Nothobranchius furzeri: one gene and its partner. The protein of the gene in region 2 purifies or fractionates together with the protein of the main gene of each other region. This does not show direct contact. Links are inferred from orthologs where the notes say so. Each region holds a gene or a part of one and is shown on either strand. Other genes may lie near its edges.

Region 1 (4,379 bases), on a different chromosome or scaffold from region 2:
TTTATTATTTATACATGTGGTTGACTTACCTGGACTGGTTCTTCAAGCACTCCACTACATATTGGACACAGCAGGTCTTCATCTACCTCACCCTGGAACCTCGTAACGTCGTACCCCATGGTACACAACCTACAACCTCCTGAACAACACAATTTAAAAAAGATTAAATATAAACCACCTACACATAGTAGGTATATTAGCTGTTTTAATGTAATTAAAAATTTCTTTGTCAACAAAATAATGTAAAGGAGGAATGTGATTGTCCCAAATCGTATTGTAATGGATGACCCAGATGCCTTTCAGAAAGCAGAAATGGAGATACTTGGCAATGCTTGTACTGCAACCTGATGAGCAAATGTTTCTATTATCACTCTAGCCATTTTTACAAAACAATGCCATTAATTTGCCGCAATGCCGTGGCAGCATCAGGGAGCCTTAGGTTGTTCATAAGTGGTCAGACTGTGGCGGTAATGTGGTGCAATCGTGTCCTTTTTATAAGATTAAGGCGGTGTGTATTGTAAAAGGGCTTCTGAGATGCTGAATTATTTAATCTCACCCCCCCCCCCCAAACCGAAAGTATTTTACACAGATTTCAACACAAGAAGGTGACATGTTTCATCATGTTGTTTATTATGAAGAGGAAGAAAATATCATTTCGATAGCGCTTCTCAAGATAAAAATCACGAGGCGCTTCACAAAAACAAAAAATGAAAAAATATAAAAAAGAATTTAGAAAATGGTTAAAAATATATTTTAAATGAGCAAAAAAAATGGGCAATTGTAATTAAAAAATGTTAAGAAAGAGAGAGAGTGAACAGGAAAGAGGGAAATCAGTGGATCCTGAGGAAGGTGGAATAGGTGGGGAGAGCAGAACAAAAAGAGAGAGGTGAAGAAGGTCATACAAAAGCCAGCTTGAACAGGTGAGTCTTCAGCTGCTTTTTAAAGGAGACCACTGAGTCCACTGATCTCAGGCTCAGGGGGAGAGAGTTCCAGAGTCTGGGGGCCACAGCAGCAAATGATCTGTCACCTTTGGTCTTTAGTCTGGTGCTGCACAACCAGTAGGCTTTGATCACCGGACCTCAGGGACCTGCTGGGGGTGTAGGGACTAAGAAGATCACCAATGTAAGATGGTGCTTGTCCATGTAAGGCCCTATAGACCAGAACCAGGATCTTGAAATGAACCCTGAAGTTGACTGGCAGCCAGTGAAGCTGGAGGAGAAGCGGAGTGATGTGGGTGTGTTTGGAGGACTTGGTCAGAAGCCGAGCACAGGCATTCCGAACCACCTGTAGACGGTTCAGGGAGGTTCTGCTCAGACACGTGAAAAGAGAGTTACAGTAGTCTAAGCATGAGGAGATGAAGGAGTGGAGAACTGTCTCAAGTTCAGAGCGGGACAGAATGGGACTCAGCTTAGCAACGTTCCTGAGATGGAAGAAGGAAGAGCAAACAAGAGAAATGACATGAGAATCCAGGGTGAGAGCTGGGTCAAAGGTCACGCCAAGATTCCTGACAGAAGGTTTGGTGTGGGAAGCAAGCTGACCAAGAGAGTCTCTGACTTTGGGAACCAGCTTGTCTGGGGCACAGATGAGGATCTCAGTCTTATCTTCATTCAGCTGAAGAAAGCTCCCAGCCATCCAGGTTTTGATAGAGTCTAAGCAGGTGTGTAACAGCTGCAGCTTAGACATCTCATGGGGCTTAAAGGAGATGTACAGTTGGATGTCATCTGCATAAAGATGGTAGGATATTCCTTTGAAGGAGCTCAGGATGTGCTGAAGAGGAAGCAGATAGAGGAGGAAGAGCAGAGAACCTTGTGGGACACCATGGGTAAGGGTGGTGGTGAAGGACCTAAACTTGGAGACGGCCATAGAAAAGGAGTGCTCAGAAAGATAATGTAATATAGTACAGTAACTAATTCTTTAGCTCACTGTTTGTATATATGTGTGTGTGGTTGTTTTTTTACATTTACATTTATACACTTGCTACGCTACTAAATACCAGTACTGTGAAACAAACCTGGCTAAAACTAAGATGAGAAGGGTTTTTTACACTATCTATGAATAATTACTATCAAAAAATGATTGACATTTTGTCAAAATAATAATTTACAGTTCTGGTTAGAACATCTTGTTTACCTCAAACACAAACTGCCTCAAATATTTCCATTCAGCTCCTCGATTCCTCACATCTGGCAGAAATGCTCTGCCTGCCTAAAAAGACACAGACCCTGCCTGAATAAAAAGGAAAAAATTATTGCATTTAAAAAAAAACTTTTAGTCTGATGATTGTAAACCACATATGCAAGAACATTAAATCCCATATCACGTATACACAATGTACTCAAATGAGTTTAACTAGCTGAAATCTGAGATTAAGTACTTTCTAAAAAAATTTACCATACCGACAGTTTTTTTGGAGGATAAAGAATTTGAACTTTAAATTGAGCGTAGCCATTTTCATACATATTCACATCCTCAGGCTGACTTTTCAACGTGATTTTACAATAAACATATTTATCTACTGTCCTGGTTAACAAATGAATGATTCCAAAAAATGAAAAGAAACAGCTTTGAGATCAACATGTTTCCATCATATTTCAGAGCAAGGAGCACAAAACTTAGCTGAGCATCGAGGTTTCTCAATGTTATCTTCACGCATATAATAACACTTTAAACTAAATCGTAAAAACTTGATTTTTAATAACGTAAACATGCGTCAAAGAGAAAAATATCTTAATGGTTTACAAAGTACAGCAGCACAGTTTGACTGTCACGATTTCTGAATATGTAACGTTAGCTAGCCCAGCTAGCGGCTACGCTGTCGTTGGTTTCCTTTGGACATTAGCTATAAGCTAACCAGACTGACCTCCGTTAGAGACAACTTCACACACCAATAGCTGTTTACAGTCAGCTGCACTGCTCAAGATATAACAGCTGACTGATATACTTACTCAGACATTGAGTAAAATAGATCCTTTTCACAATTCAGGCTGTTTTCAGACGTCGTACCAACACTAGCCCCTTGCTAATCACGTCTTGGTGCTACGTCATACAAGTCTACGTCTCAATCGACACGAGGGGAAACGTCATCACGCAAAACTGCAGAAATCCCAAAAGTGAATTTTATAATGAAAAATGTCTCTCTTACCGAAACAATGTTAATCACTAACACTGTCGAAAATGTCCTTATCCGGTTAAAACTTTCATAACGGACTGCTGTTTCTTTGTACATTCTTTTTTTAATTGTCTGTTTGTTAATCAGTTTTGGGTAAATAATTGTATAAACATTAATCCGGACTTCAAGTTATAATGGAGAAATGTGTTATTTGGGTTCCTCAGAAATGACATTGAGATTAAAAAAACACATTAATATTATAATAATGTAAGCTAAATGCCATGTTGAAAAGTTTGTTTGTTTTCAAGAGCTCAGACAATACATTTCCTCCATTATGATTTCATCCAATAAAAAAGCCTCAAATGGATCAATTTTGTGAAATAATTGTTAAGCATCAGTCTAATGTGCTCTGTTATGCTCTGTTATGTTATGCATCTGTGTAAATTTGTAAATAAGAATGTGTGTGTGTGTATATACATGTATGCTTTTATACTGAAAAGTACCTGTAGAGGAAGTTAAACTTTGACCTCGTAAATTGACCAATAAAAGGGAGCATTGGTGTTTTAGTGGCCGCAATCAGTGTGTGCTACCACCAGTGAAGGCCCGTGAAACAGACGCTCTGTTTATGGATTTATTTCCTCCTTTTTTTAATCCTGGAGATTCATTTTGGAGTCTTGGACCAACCGCTGGGTAAACGAAACTCTGCTAACAGGTTATGGGCCCAGCACGCTTCCGCTGCGCACCAAGCTAATCAGGACAGCTGGGAAAGCATCCTGCTAGCGTGTGAGGAGCACAGAACCGACCAACAGCAAGTCCGGTGAGTCGAGTGAGAGCTACGACGTGTGTCGGACACTATGAGTCGGAAGACAGTGGAAGCCAGTACCCGCTGGTCAAGACTGGTATTTGACGGAGACGAGGATAAATATGAACTGTGGGAAACAAAGTTTCTCGGACACCTCCGGCTACAAGGTTTGAAAGACATTATATTAAAACCGAAAGACGATGACGATGATGAGGAATATGATTCAAAGAACGCAGAGGCATATGCCGAACTTATACAATTCCTGGATGATAAGAGCCTTTCACTGGTGATGAGAGACGCAGCTGACGACGGGCGGAAAGCTCTAATTATCTTGAGAGAACACTATGCCGGGAAGGGAAAACCCCGCATAATAAGCTTATATACAGAACTGACTGCATTACAGCAGAAGAGCGGCGAGAGTGTAACGGATTATGTTTTGAGAGCCGAGGCCGCCATTACAGCGCTGAG
Region 2 (3,821 bases):
TTGCTGAACCAGTGAGACTAGATGCTCCCACTGCATCTCTAGGGAAATACATCTTGATGAGGGGAAGTTTAACCTCCTGAAGTCATCAGATTTGATAGAACTAAACTAATCTGCAAGAACTTTCTAAGTGGGTTACAAATACAGGAAAGACAACAGGGGAGGACAGTTCTTGATAAATGAAGTGAGTCACTTTCTGTATTAAGCAGAATTACTTGTTCCAGTTAAACGTGTCAAATTCAAGGAAATGACATCATGTTTCGTAAAACTCCGCTCTGATTGGTCAGTTCAATAAAAACTAAAATCTCTTTCCTATCTGCTGCGCCCATCCATCAGCTGAACGTTTCAGCGTCTACCCTCGTGTTTCCTGGTAAACCCACGCTTCACAGAAGCGTTCAGACAGGCCGTTTGTGCAGAGGGAGCTTACTGACAACGCCCTCATCGGCTTCCCTCACCTGCAATCCTCTGCATCTTCATGCGGCGGGCCTGAATGCGGCCTTTGGCCAGCCTCTGCTTGGCGATGATGCAGCGGATGTGGTCGGCGAAGATGAAGTTGGCCTGCAGAATGGGCAAAGGCTTGGCGTGAGGGTTGGAGCTGGGTTTGTGGATAATGATATTCAAAGCTCTGCTGTCGTCCTCCACACCGGACACCTGCATGTCCTTTAGAAAGAGAGAGAGAGAGACACACAGAGCAGTAGGTGGTGTCAGTAACGCTGACCCAGGGGTAGACTGACTGTTTATAGCACCACTAATGGTGCTAAAGAAAACACCCAAATTTTCTCTCATGGTCGCTTTCAATTAAAACGGAAAAGTTAAAGAATATAAAAGTAAAGACTGAACGATGGAATCAGGAGATGAATGGTAACCAACAGGAATGCGAAATAGCTGTGGGAAACTGGACTGGATCTAAGAAACATCTGAAAGATGATGAGAGGGATTAGTTAAATTAAACACAAAAAACCAACCTATAAAAAAATAAAACGGGACCCAGCTACACTTAAATATTTACATTATTGAAGCTACTAATCAGTCAGATGGAAATCTACTCCTTTATTTATTTAAAACTGCTGTTTCCAACGTTGCTGCTGTGGGTCAAGAAACACAGCGGGGTCACAGGGAATAACAATCTGTTTTAAAAATGATAAAATGGTAAATGATAAAGTCCCAAGTTTCCTTTTCCCCATTTTTTAAAGTGCAAGTCACCCCCAAGTCAATCATTTTTTGGCTGATAAACTATATAAACACGTGTAGACAAGTGTAGACAATAATTTGGCACTTTAGTGCATCTTAGTTAAAAGTAAAATTTGCTGCCTTATGGGCTCGATACACGGGAGGCGACAAACGACCGCGACCAGCAAAATTTGTTGCTGTCACTTTTATTACCCGACACACGGGAGGCGACCCGCGGCAGCGGCCAGTGACAAAGCCGTCTACGCGTTCGGTTCCATGGCGAAATCGAACCTTCCTTTGTTTTGATTGGCTGTGTCAGGTTGGAGGGAATTAAGGTTATTTAAGCGGTTTAGAGTTAAAAAAGCGGTAGATATGATGTTTCACAAGGTGCTGTTAGAGTTATGTGAAATCTTGCTTCTGATTTTACTATATATATATATATAAAAAAAAAATACCTGAGAATACGTTCATCCCATACTACAAACCAGAGAAAGAAATGGCGAATACCATCATTTCATGAGAGACTTCTAGGATTATCCTGATGTGTTAACTGTGGCACCAACAATTTCCCATGCTGTGGCCTTTTTGTGAATATCTCTATATTCTTTGGTAGAAATATTGTACAGTTCTGGGAAATCCGTCACAGCAAGTATCTTCTCCTCCATGTTTGCTCGGAGTTGTAAGGCGCATCCTGTCCGCTCACTGGTTATGGAATGAAACCTCCAATGATTGATCCTCGCCCGAGCGACAGCGATGAAAAGTTGAAAATATTTCAACTTTCATCTAAAACTTTCTAACTTTCATCTAAAAATGACAGAGTCTTCACTAGTACCATGCAGACGCACACCTATCTGGAATAATCCAGATTTTTGCAAAATAACAAAATGATGAAACTTCCGGATTGGAAAAATAAAGGAATCCTATACCTGGAACACATATATGAAGGATTGGACTTCATCCCATTTAACAGAATAGTCTCCCAATTTGGAGTTGATAATAATAGCTTTTCAGAATATCACCAAATTAAATCTGTAGTCAAACAAAAATTTCAGCTCAATAAAGTAGAATTACAAACACCACCAAGGGTTTTAGACTTCTATAATCTCAAACCCGTCAAACTACTGTCTAAAGTATATAAGACGATAAAATTGCAATCCCTATTGAAAAATGGGAGGTGGATCCATCAGTCAGCTTTGACCAGAACGTCTGGTCCCAAACTTGTTTAAAAACTTTTTAAATAATCAGAAACCCCAGTTCACAATTAATGCAGTACAAAATTCTGAACAGAGTACACTATACAAGCCATCGGATGTTCAGGATGGGGTTTGTGTCATCTGACACCTGTACACAGTGCACAAACAACATTCCTGACAATTACATCCAGGCACTGTGGTCCTGTCCACATGTCCAGGAATTTTTGGGTAGAGTATGTGAAGACATGTCAAAGTGTCTGAAATGTCATATCCCAACTTCCCCCCCTCTTGGTTTACTGGGAAACCTGGACGATGACCCAATTGAAACATCTTTGGTTCATGTGGTCCATATGCCATATGCATCGCTAAGAAAACTATCCTCTTGAATTGGAAAAATAGAGATACTCTTTGCATTAACCAGTATAGAAATCTTTTGTTAGATCATATTGCACTTGATACAGCCTCTGCCTCCACTTCAAGTGAATCTCTTTGGGCTCCTTTGATCGGTTCCATCACATAGCGATTATAGGAGGGTCACTGATATTTCAGGTCCTGACATGTCTGCTGCCGGGAAGAAGGCGGGAACATGCGGCAGAGCCTGGCCCGGGCTCAGGGACCTCGGGTAGACCTTGGCTCCTCTGCTGTCCATCACGGGGGAGGGGAATGTCCAGGAGGGGGAGGACCCAACTTTACCTGGATGTCCTATGTCATATATTCTGGAAGCTGTGCAAATGCAGGGATGGGAGTAGATATTCTGCTGGGGTGGGGCTGCGTTGGTTCCCTTGGACTCTGTGGAGCTATGCAATGCTGCTGCTTTGGGTCCTGGCAGGATGGGCTGGGGTCTCCATGCCCTGGGTGGCATTTTGGCAACGGAGGTGCCTACTGGAGCCAGTGGGGGAGCTAGCTCCCTGGACGGCTTAAGCCAACCAGCCATTCCTCCCCATCCCCACACATTTTTCTCCTCCTGCTCCCTCACATCATCACACAAACATGCACATAGGACTTTGAGGGGTGGACAAGTCAGGGGGTGCGGGTATGGACCCCATTTCTGCATTCCTGTGGCAACCTGCCCCCCCCCCCCCCCCCAATTTTATTTGCACATTAAACACTTCCACTAATGACATTCCATGCAAACACACACTTAGGGCCTTGGGAGTAAGCACATTCAACAACATTTGGCAAGGGGTTCTTTCAGCCTCATCCCAGGTGCCGGTGCCCACTTCCAATTTTAATCTGCACTTAGACACAGAGGGCTGTGGGGGGAAGAGGGGTGGTGTGGTGGCAGCTGGCGTAGGCCAGACGATGCCTGCACTGCCTGCTCACCACAGCCACGAATACACCTCATCAACACGCACCAACACTGTATCGGAGCAGGCGGAGGGTGACTAGGGTTCTTAGCACACCTCTGTTGTCACTTGGCTTCCGGGGCTGGAGGCTAGGAGGGGGATCTGGCCGTCTGTC

What was found.
Region 1: the proteins of clec16a (region 2) and rnf41 purify together in Homo sapiens (affinity purification with mass spectrometry; 3 studies listed by BioGRID and IntAct, with this or other methods). This does not show direct contact. The link is inferred for Nothobranchius furzeri from reciprocal best matches to the Homo sapiens genes CLEC16A and RNF41.

Annotation. Positions count from the first base shown.
Region 1 is NC_091755.1:37,149,257-37,153,635, forward strand, and holds the start of rnf41 (E3 ubiquitin-protein ligase NRDP1), read right to left. Parts: upstream 3,071-4,379; 5' UTR 2,946-3,070; intron 2,227-2,945; 5' UTR 2,131-2,226; intron 140-2,130; 5' UTR 120-139; coding exon 30-119; intron 1-29. Other genes in the region: uncharacterized protein, read left to right, coding at 3,964-4,379. UniProt on the Homo sapiens protein: Acts as E3 ubiquitin-protein ligase and regulates the degradation of target proteins. Polyubiquitinates MYD88. Negatively regulates MYD88-dependent production of pro-inflammatory cytokines.
Region 2 is NC_091752.1:63,103,255-63,107,075, reverse strand, and holds part of clec16a (protein CLEC16A), read right to left. Parts: intron 658-3,821; coding exon 453-657; intron 1-452. UniProt on the Homo sapiens protein: Regulator of mitophagy through the upstream regulation of the RNF41/NRDP1-PRKN pathway. Mitophagy is a selective form of autophagy necessary for mitochondrial quality control.